2 linked regions of the Rattus norvegicus genome follow. The protein of the gene in region 1 interacts with the protein of each later gene in a pairwise test. Links are inferred from orthologs where the notes say so. Each region holds a gene or a part of one and is shown on either strand. Other genes may lie near its edges. The genes, in order: Fkbp8 and Zfyve27.

Region 1 (4,552 bases):
CGTAAAGGAAGAGTTACATGGTGGGGCGGGGGCCAGTGGCACAAGCACCTTACAGACCTGAGCTCCCTCAGTCTACAGAACCAACATGTTAGGACAGAACTCATTCTTGCAAATTGTCTTTTGGCATTCCCTTGTGTATCTGGGAGCAAGTTCCATATAGATGTGTAAGTGTATGTATGTATGTATGTATTCCCACGTGTAAAAACAAACAAAAAAAGACACTGAGGTCTGCACTGCTCAACTGAGCAGCAGCTTAACATGTGCAAAGGCCCCAGAATCCATTCCAAGTACTAAGAACCAAAGAACAACAAAAAACAACCCACTGGGTTTCAGATATGGTCAGGTTCAAAGCCCTCAGAACTGGAACTAGCCCATGGTTTCTTTGATATCAAGTGAAAGAATTACACAATCATTCTTGAAAGGGGACAGCCCAGGGAGGGCATAAAACAGCTCTGGAGAGTGGATGAGCACTATCTGGTGAGAGGTGCCTGCCTTCTCTCTGGTATCTAGCACTTCTGGCGGAGCTTTCTGGGAAAGCAGGCACTTACTGAACACCTGTATGCTGCAGGTGACTATCGTGAAACTAGAACATAGTGGCTGGGGGCCGTAGAGTGTCCACTTGGACTTGTCACTGTCCCTCAGCTTTGACCTACTATTCTTTTAGACAGTGTGAATTCTGATCCTCTGACGCCCACTTATCAAATGCTGAGATGACAGGCAAGGGCCCTCCCTGGCTTCCTCACCACGTCCCTACCTTCGATGTAGTTTAGTAAGCAGTCACACAAGACCCCCCGAAACCTCACAACAAGCTAAACACCTTGTAGTCAGAAGTGTTGGCTCCCAGCAATCAGGAAGTTGAGGCAGGAAGATTGCTGCCCGCTTGTGCTACATGGTCAGACCCTGGCTAACTAAAAGACAATATAAAACGTGAGACAAAAGAGAATACTATGGGGTGCTGAGAGTGGGAGAATTCCTCTTCTCCATGGAAAAACACATCCAATACCAAATGGTCAGCCCTGAACACATGCATAGAAGTGGCATCACACAGACTAAACAACTTGTATCTAGGAATATATATGTATATGGATATATTTATGTGTGTGTGTATTATGTAACAACTGTTAATTAATAAAAATGATAAACTTAAAAAAAAGAGAGAATACTATAATAAAAGAATTGAGACCGGTGTGGTGGCACACACCTTTAATCCCAGTAGCAGGCAGAGGCAGTATGATGTCTGAGTTCAAGGCCAGCCTCATCTGGTATATGTGCTGATCCAGGACAGCCAGGACTACAGAGCTCCCCACGCCCCAGGAGAACAGAGGGGGTGGGGGGAAGAGGACATGAAATGAAGTGTTAAGTAAAATTATGAAAAATTACTGTTTTCTAAAGAGCCCCAAACTGGCCGCTCATGAGCTGCGGTGTTTCTTGTTTATTTCTAATTCGTATGTGAACAGGAGGAAGCCCGACACGGTGTAAACTAAAATCAGGACGTGCTGCTACCTTCGTCTCCTGAGGCTCAACCAAGTGCGTTCCCACCCCCTAATCACTACAGCCTCTCCACCCAGAGGCTAGAGCCCCTTTAAGAACGGGCAGCGGAGCTTACCAGGAAAAAGGCGGTGTCCAGGGCGCGAGACAGACGTGTGCAGAAGCCAATAAGCGTGGCAGCCGCGGCGTGACCAGCCAATGGGCACGCGGGGGCGGGGCTGCGCATCTGAAGCTGTTTCCCGAGGCGCGGCGGCCGCGACTGGGGGTGGGGAGGGGGGCACAGGACCCCAAGCGGGGTCCCCAAGCCGCAGGCACGTGAGACGGAGCGTAGCGAGGAGGCCGAGGCTCCCGGGGCCGAGGCCTCCCGAGTCTGCGGGGACCGGGGCCTCCCAGGGTGGTAGTGTCGACCGGGCGCGGGGCGGCGTTGGGGTGCGGGGCGCGCGGGGCATTGTGGGGGCTCGGGGTGGGAGGGTCTCCGGTCGGGGCCGGATCCCGGAAGGAGCCCCGCAGGTGAGGGTCGCAGGGCAGGGACGCGGAGCTCCGGGGCTTCCTGGAGCTTAAGGAGAGGGCCTGACAGGATGTACGGTTCTGCAGCTGGGTTGGGGATCCTCCGTAGAGAGGCCTGGGGCCAGCGAGATGGTGCAAGATTCAATATTGGTGTTCCCACTACTCTTTCGTTTTCATTTAATTTTGAGACTGGGTCTCATGTATTCTAACTCAGTCTTCCAAGTGGCTGTGTAGCTCAGGCTGGCCTTGAACTCCAGGCCTTCCTGTCTCAAGCTCCCAAGAGCTGGATGACAGGCGAGCACTGCCACACCAGGTTTTACAAGGGTGCTGATTCTAAAGCGGTGTGCTTGGTAGGAGAACGCTCTTCCAACGAATTACAACCTTAGCTTATGCTTTAAATTTCTGGAGACAGGGTGTCATGTAATTCATGAATTCCATGGCCTTGAATACCTGATCATCCTTCCTCCACCTCCCTATTGCTGGGATGAAAGACATTTGCTGATGCCTGGTTTCTGCAGTGCTGGGAATAGAACCATGGGTTTTGTGCTTGGTAGACAAGTGCCCTATTGCCTGAGCTATGTCCCCAGTGCCCTACTGTGATTAAAAGCTGGAAGCAGGCTTGATAATAGAGGCAGGTTGGAGCCATGGTCCCTGTTGTTGGAAGATTCAGTACCTTCAGGGTACGGAACAAGAGACATTAAGTATCTGGCACCAATTCTTTATTGCTGGAGCCTTTAGCAGATAAGGTAGCCAGAGGCAAGGACCTTTACAAAAATTCACTTTTCTCAAGAGATCCAGAAGTTATAAAAACAGCTGTCCCAGTTTGTGGAAAGGAATTAGTAAAAGTTTAAGAAAAAACAAGCAAACAAACAGCTGTCCCAAGGCCTCAGTGACTGTCCCCACTGCCTCAGTAACTCCAACACCCTTTTCTTGACATTCAGTTCAGTAACTTCTAAATCTTGGCCCTACTGCTAATTGGCTTGATTTCTGACCTTGACCAAGTGGCTTTGTCTTTCTGTGCCTGTTGGGTCTTTTTTGTGTAAGCTATGGTTTTCCTACGTTCTTGTTTATAAAGATTCCATGCTAATTACTTCTAATAACAGCTAAACCAGCTGTAGTTTGTGGCTCAGAGTGTGAGGTCTCTGCACCCTTCTTTCAACAAGCCAGGTTGGTAGGGTGCCCAGTATGTACATGATGAATGCAAGGGCTGGTGTTGCTGATATACTCCAGGGATGCCAGTTGTAGGGAACTGGAGCTTAGGAGAGTTAGAGGGCCTTCCTAGATGGGGTTATCACTGTCATGCTTAACTGTTCCCCTAGGGCCAGTTCCTGATCCCCCAGCAGCATGGCGTCTTGGGCCGAGCCCTCTGAGCCTGCTGCCCAGCTACTTTGTGGGGCCCCACTCCTGGAGGGCTTTGAGGTGCTTGATGGGGTTGATGATGCAGAGGAGGAAGATGACCTAAGTGGGTTGCCACCACTAGAGGATATGGGACAGCCTACGGTGGAGGAGGCTGAGCAGCCTGGAGCCCTAGCTCGGGAGTTCCTGGCAGCCACAGAGCCTGAGCCAGCCCCAGCCCCCGCCCCGGAAGAGTGGCTGGACATTCTGGGTAAGTGTGCTGGGTTGGTCAGAGGCACCTTGACCCAGGGATTTCTGGTCTCTTGAGCTTTGTTTCCCCTTCTGTGTGGGTTGGAAGTGACATTAGGATATCAGTGGCTGATTTTTATTTGTTTATTTTGAAATAACCTTACTGTGAAACCCAGGCTGGCCTTGAACTCACACTATAGTCCAAGCTGGGTCTGAACTTTGGATCTTCCTGACTCATTGTCTCAGGCTCGCTGGTCTCACAGGCCTGTGCTGTGTGGCTGGCTTCCGAGATGGCTTGATACCAGTGTGTTTGCTGGCTCATACCTTGCCTTGCTCACACAATCTGTAACAGGTTGCTTTCTACCCCCAGTGTTGGAAACAGCAGCTCAGAGAGGCTGAGTCACCTTCTTGGAGCCACACAGCCTTTGCACTGGGTGCCAGCAGCTCTAAGACAACTTCCACTACATCTTCCCTAAGCATTTGTGTAGATGTGTGACAGAGTCTTAAAAACTGGCACAGCCCAACAGAGCATCAGGTTCTGATCACCCTCCTCTTGTTCCACAACATTCATTTTCTCTCCTAAAATCCCTTCTCTAGATAGTGCCAGCAGGATTTTTGTGTTTCTTTTCTTTTCTTTTTTTTAATTTTAAATTTTTTTTTTTTTTTTGGAGGGGTGCTAGGGTGCTAGGGAATGGAAGGCAGAGGCTCTACCACTGGGGCTTACCCCTAACCTCTCACTAGGGAGTTCTAGTAAGGGTTTCTTAAAACCCTGACCAGCCGGAGCTGGAGAGGTGGCTTAATGGTTAAGAGCACCGATTGCTTTTCTAGAGGTTGTGTGTTCAATCCCCAGCACCTGCATTCACAGTTGTGTGTAACTCCAGTTTGCGTGAATATGGCACCCTCTTCTGGACTCTGTCAGCACTGCACCCATGCAGGCAGAATGCACATAGACATGAAATTAAAAAAAACAAAA
Region 2 (4,396 bases), on another chromosome or scaffold:
CAGTGTACTCATCTATAATAAATAAGTCTTTAAAATTTTTTTTCCCTGTGGATCTTGTCTCTAGGAGAAGAAGCGTTACTAAGAGCAAAGATTTCAGGGCTGGAGAGATGGCTCAGTGGTTAAGAGCACTGACTGCTCTTCCAGAGGTCCTGAGTTCAAATCCCAGCAACCACATGGTGGCTCACAACCATCTGTAGTGAGATCTGATGCCCTCTTCTGGTCTGAAGACAGCTACAATGTACTTACAAATAAATAAATCTTAAAAAATTAAAAAAAAAAAAAAAGAGTAAAGATTTCAGAGCCTGTGGGACAATGACCAGCCTTAAGGAAGTGGGAAGAGTTGAGATTCCCCGTACAGCTGAGTCCTGACTGGCAGAGCAGGTGTGCCTGTTTCTCTGAAAAAGAGATGCTGGACGGATGTCAGGGAAGCTTTGGGGTGGTTCAGAGGAGTGGTTATTGTCGGTTGAGCGGCCTTCCCTGGCTGCTCACACCTGAGTCCTGCTAAGACAGTTGGTTTGCTTGCCTTTGGATGGAAGCAAGAAGCCGGGCAGGCAGGTGTGACAAGCAATTTGAGGAGTTGGCAGGAGTCCAGGGCCGTTGCAGGTAAAAACGGGGTTCAGTTGGCTGAGGCACTTGAAAGAGAACAAACAGCAGGATAGATGAAGCCAGTAGTTGCAGACTCATGTGGGCGGTGGTATGGCTGGGGTTACTGGCATCCAGTGATATATTTGGCTCAAATCCCAGTTCCAAGAGGTTTATGTGCTGTGACATTAAAGAAGTTACTTACCATGACTACAATTCCTCATCCGTGAAATGGTGATAACCCCAACAGGGTTGGTTATTGAAGGAGGAACAGATGAGATAATGTGAACACAAAGCTTACTGTACTGCCTGGCTGTTGGTTAATGCAAACCCATGGGAAGTGTGTTTTAAGGGACACCAGCTGGGTCACAAGATGTGAAGAAGAGTTAGGAACCAAGGAACCACCGGTCTGTCTCTGCTAGGCACCTGACATACAAGATGTGTTTTCTGCCTTCCCTAGCCTCTTTTTTATCCAGATTTTTATCCAGTTTTTATCCAGATTTTCTTTCTTTTTTATCCTTCTCCACCCCCACCCCTACCCTTTTTTGTTTTTGTTTTTGTTTTTGAGCCAGGAGCTCCCATAGCCAAGGCTGGCCTTGAACTAGCCTCCAGCCTCAGAAACTCAAAGGCTGTGGTTACAAGAAGTGCGTCACCACGCTAGGCTCTGTAACTGTCCTTGCTGTAATGTTCCGGAGCTAGGCTGGCTCCCAGGAATTAGGTCCTAGGTTTCCGGGTCATTAAAAGTGAGTCATCTCTTGTATGGCAGGGACGGAGTTAACCAGAAATTAGCCACAGAGGGGAAAAGTGCGCAGGCGCAGTATCGACGAGCTCGATCACCTGCGCTTGGGTGGGAGGGGCTAAACTCGGAGGCCCGACCCAAGGCGGGACGGGCGAGGTGACGTCACGGGCGCGCCACCGCAGAGTGAGTCGCGTCCCGGAAGCGACGGCGGTGGTGGGGCAGACTGTTCTCTGGTGGACTTGCGATTTCGGAGCGTCTGTGGGAGGTGGCGCGGCGTGGGGTGGGGCGGGCCTGAGGGGCCGCTCCCGGGCTTGGTGGCCCTTCTGTCCCCTTGGGCGCCCCTGCCCCTCCCATTCCTGGGACAGTGTCCGGGTAGGTGACGACCATCACGCCCCAGCCCCACTGTATTTATTTACAGAGCCTGGTGCTCCCGTCGGGAGGGGACCGCCACCTGCTGGCACAGCGATCTTAGGCGTGGCCTGCCTTGCGCCGCCTGGGAGGTGATGGTGGTCGAGGCCTCTGTCCGCATTGACCTGCTGAGCCTGTCTCGCGCTAGCCCGGGTTTGCTTTCTTCCTAGCACGTTCTATCGAGAGTTTGGGGTCCAGTGGACTCCTTTCCAAGTGATGAAAGGAGCCAGGGTTAAGAGCGTGACAAGAGTGTTGTTAGGAAAAATTCATGAACCTTTGGGAGCCCTGGTAAGGGTCACCCAGTGTACACTAGCGCGTTCATAAAGACGTCCCAGAGCAAGATGGTCCCCTAACCCTGACACCTGAAGGATGAGTAGGGGAAAAGAGAGGAGAAAGATATCACAGGACATCTTTTCTCTTGGGATTACCAATTACCTCCCTTCAACAATTAATGGCTTGTATGCTCTTGAAAAGTCTGTGAGGGAAAAGAGCGTTGGAGGGGCTCGTGAAGAACAGGCTTTATATCGAAGGTATCCCCTTCACTCTGCTGTTCTTCAGAAGGAACAAAGTTTCTTTCCGTGTGAAACGGGTATTGGTGCTTACCTCACATGGTTGATGCAAGGGGAAATGTGTTTGAAGACTGGACATGCATTGTGAGTGTGGGGAATTACGATTACAGAATGCAGTCTTCGGATCGGGACCTGAGTGGACCAGAGGCGAGCCCCAGCGTGATGCCTGAGGTTCTCTCTGAGTGTTCACCTGCCCCTACCAAGTCAACAGCGTTTGATCTTTTCAACCTGGTTCTGTCCTACAAGAGGCTGGAGATCTACCTGGAACCCCTGAAGGATGCAGGTGACGGTGTTCGATACTTGCTAAGGTACAGATTTCAGGGGTTGTTCTTCCTTTGGGCTCTCTTGTCTCCCTGGTCTTTAGCAGTTCTGGCCAGTTGGCAGTAGTCGGGCTGTCCTTTCTGCTCCAGTGATGACTAGTTCTGGTGAGACTAGTTGTCTGACCTCTAGACTTATTCAGAGCTAGTTGTGTTCTAGCTCTGTGCAGGAAAGGTGGGATCTGGGAACCACTTGGTCTTCCTCAGGACTCTGTGGTTGGATAAGCTCCTCTTAGGTACTGTCAGAAAGCCTTGGACATTGGCCTGGTATAGCTTAGAGCAGACTCTGGTCCGTCCCCCCACCCCCTTCTCTCCTAATATTAGCATAATTAATCTTAAAATCCTGGTTTTATTATTTTGTATGCATGTGGCATTGCGTGCAGGTCAGAGGGCAGCTTTTGGGAGTTGGTTCTCCTTCCATGGTGCATTCTAGGGATCAAACTCAGGCTTGGCAGCAAGCACTCTACTGGCTAAGCTATCTCACCGTCAAGTTATAATTTTAAACAAACCTCAACTACAAATACCTTTGAAAAAACTAGATGCCATTTTTATTTGTTATTTAGGATTATGGTTCTCAAATTTTTTCCTATTTTGCTTCATTTTATCCTCTGTAATTTTCTTCTAGGCTCCTTAACTTTTCCTTTTGTTGACGGTAGTCTGAAACTCGTAGTTCAGGCTGCTTGAAGACTTACAACAAATGTTCTGTTTCAGACTCACAAGTACCAGGACCAACTTGCTTAAAAAAATGTTTGGTGTTTGTTTGTTTTCTGAAACATGGTCTCATTGTGCATCCCTGGCTGTCCTGGAAGACACAGAGGTCTGACTGCCACTGTCTGCTGTGCTGTGATTAAGGGCACCACCATGCCTAGCCTGTGTTTTTTACATTAAAAATTATTTTCCTTAAGTGATTTATCTACGTTTTTAGATTTTACGTGTATGGCTTTATTATCTGTATATATTTCTGTGTACCATGTGTTTGTTTGGTGTCCTCAGAGACCAGGAGAGGTTGTCAGATCACCTGGAACTGGAGTTACATATGGTTTGACCTGCCGTGGGGGTGCTGGGAACTGAACCTGGGTCTTAACCAATGAATCACCTCTTCATCTCCTGGCTTTATTTATGTTAAAAAGTATTTTATCTGAGAATATGCCTATAATCCCAGAATTTAGGAGGTAGAGACAGGAGGATCAGATGTTCAAAAATCATCTTTCACTCCGTAGCAAGTTTGGGGCCAGCCTGAGCTATTTAACACCCCCTTCTCCCCAAAAAAGAACAGAACAGAAAGATAGCTTTAATTGCAAATAAATGGCTTTGCACTTCTGATTACTTCAGTTTATTTTTTTTAATGTATTTACTTATTTTATATATATGGATACACTGTAGCTGTCTTCAGACACATCAGAAGAGGGCATCAGATCTCATTACAGATGGTCATGAACCACCATGTGGTTACTGGGAATTGAACTCAGGACCTCTGGAAGAGCAGTCAGTGCTCTTAACCACTGAGCCATCTCTCCAGCCCCAGTTTATGTTTTTTAATAAAGGCATTTGATATCATCAAAGTCATGTTATACTTAGTTAAAAGTAATTCTTTGATATCTTTCTCTGGTCATTTCCCACTTTCCAATTTTTTCCAAGGATGTCACGGACACTTGTTTTGCATCTCCTGTCAGGTTCCTATCCAGCACTGTATTTTTTGTGGTTTTTATATCCTATAAGTCTTTTTCAAACTAAACCAGGCTCTTGTTTCATGTACTGGTTTTCTGAAGTGGCTGGACTCA

The links.
Region 2: the proteins of Fkbp8 (region 1) and Zfyve27 interact in binary tests that used the Homo sapiens proteins (3 or more experiments, as listed by UniProt). The link is inferred for Rattus norvegicus from reciprocal best matches to the Homo sapiens genes FKBP8 and ZFYVE27.

Annotation. Positions count from the first base shown.
Region 1 is NC_086034.1:18,933,739-18,938,290, reverse strand, and holds the start of Fkbp8 (peptidyl-prolyl cis-trans isomerase FKBP8), read left to right. Parts: upstream 1-1,747; 5' UTR 1,748-1,799; exon of another isoform or gene 1,800-2,068; intron 2,069-3,314; 5' UTR 3,315-3,339; coding exon 3,340-3,601; intron 3,602-4,552. Other genes in the region: Kxd1 (kxDL motif-containing protein 1), read right to left, coding at 1,607-1,714. UniProt on the Homo sapiens protein: Constitutively inactive PPiase, which becomes active when bound to calmodulin and calcium. Seems to act as a chaperone for BCL2, targets it to the mitochondria and modulates its phosphorylation state.
Region 2 is NC_086019.1:250,927,623-250,932,018, forward strand, and holds the start of Zfyve27 (protrudin), read left to right. Parts: upstream 1-1,508; 5' UTR 1,509-1,693; intron 1,694-2,408; 5' UTR 2,409-2,409; coding exon 2,410-2,606; intron 2,607-4,396. UniProt on the Homo sapiens protein: Key regulator of RAB11-dependent vesicular trafficking during neurite extension through polarized membrane transport. Promotes axonal elongation and contributes to the establishment of neuronal cell polarity.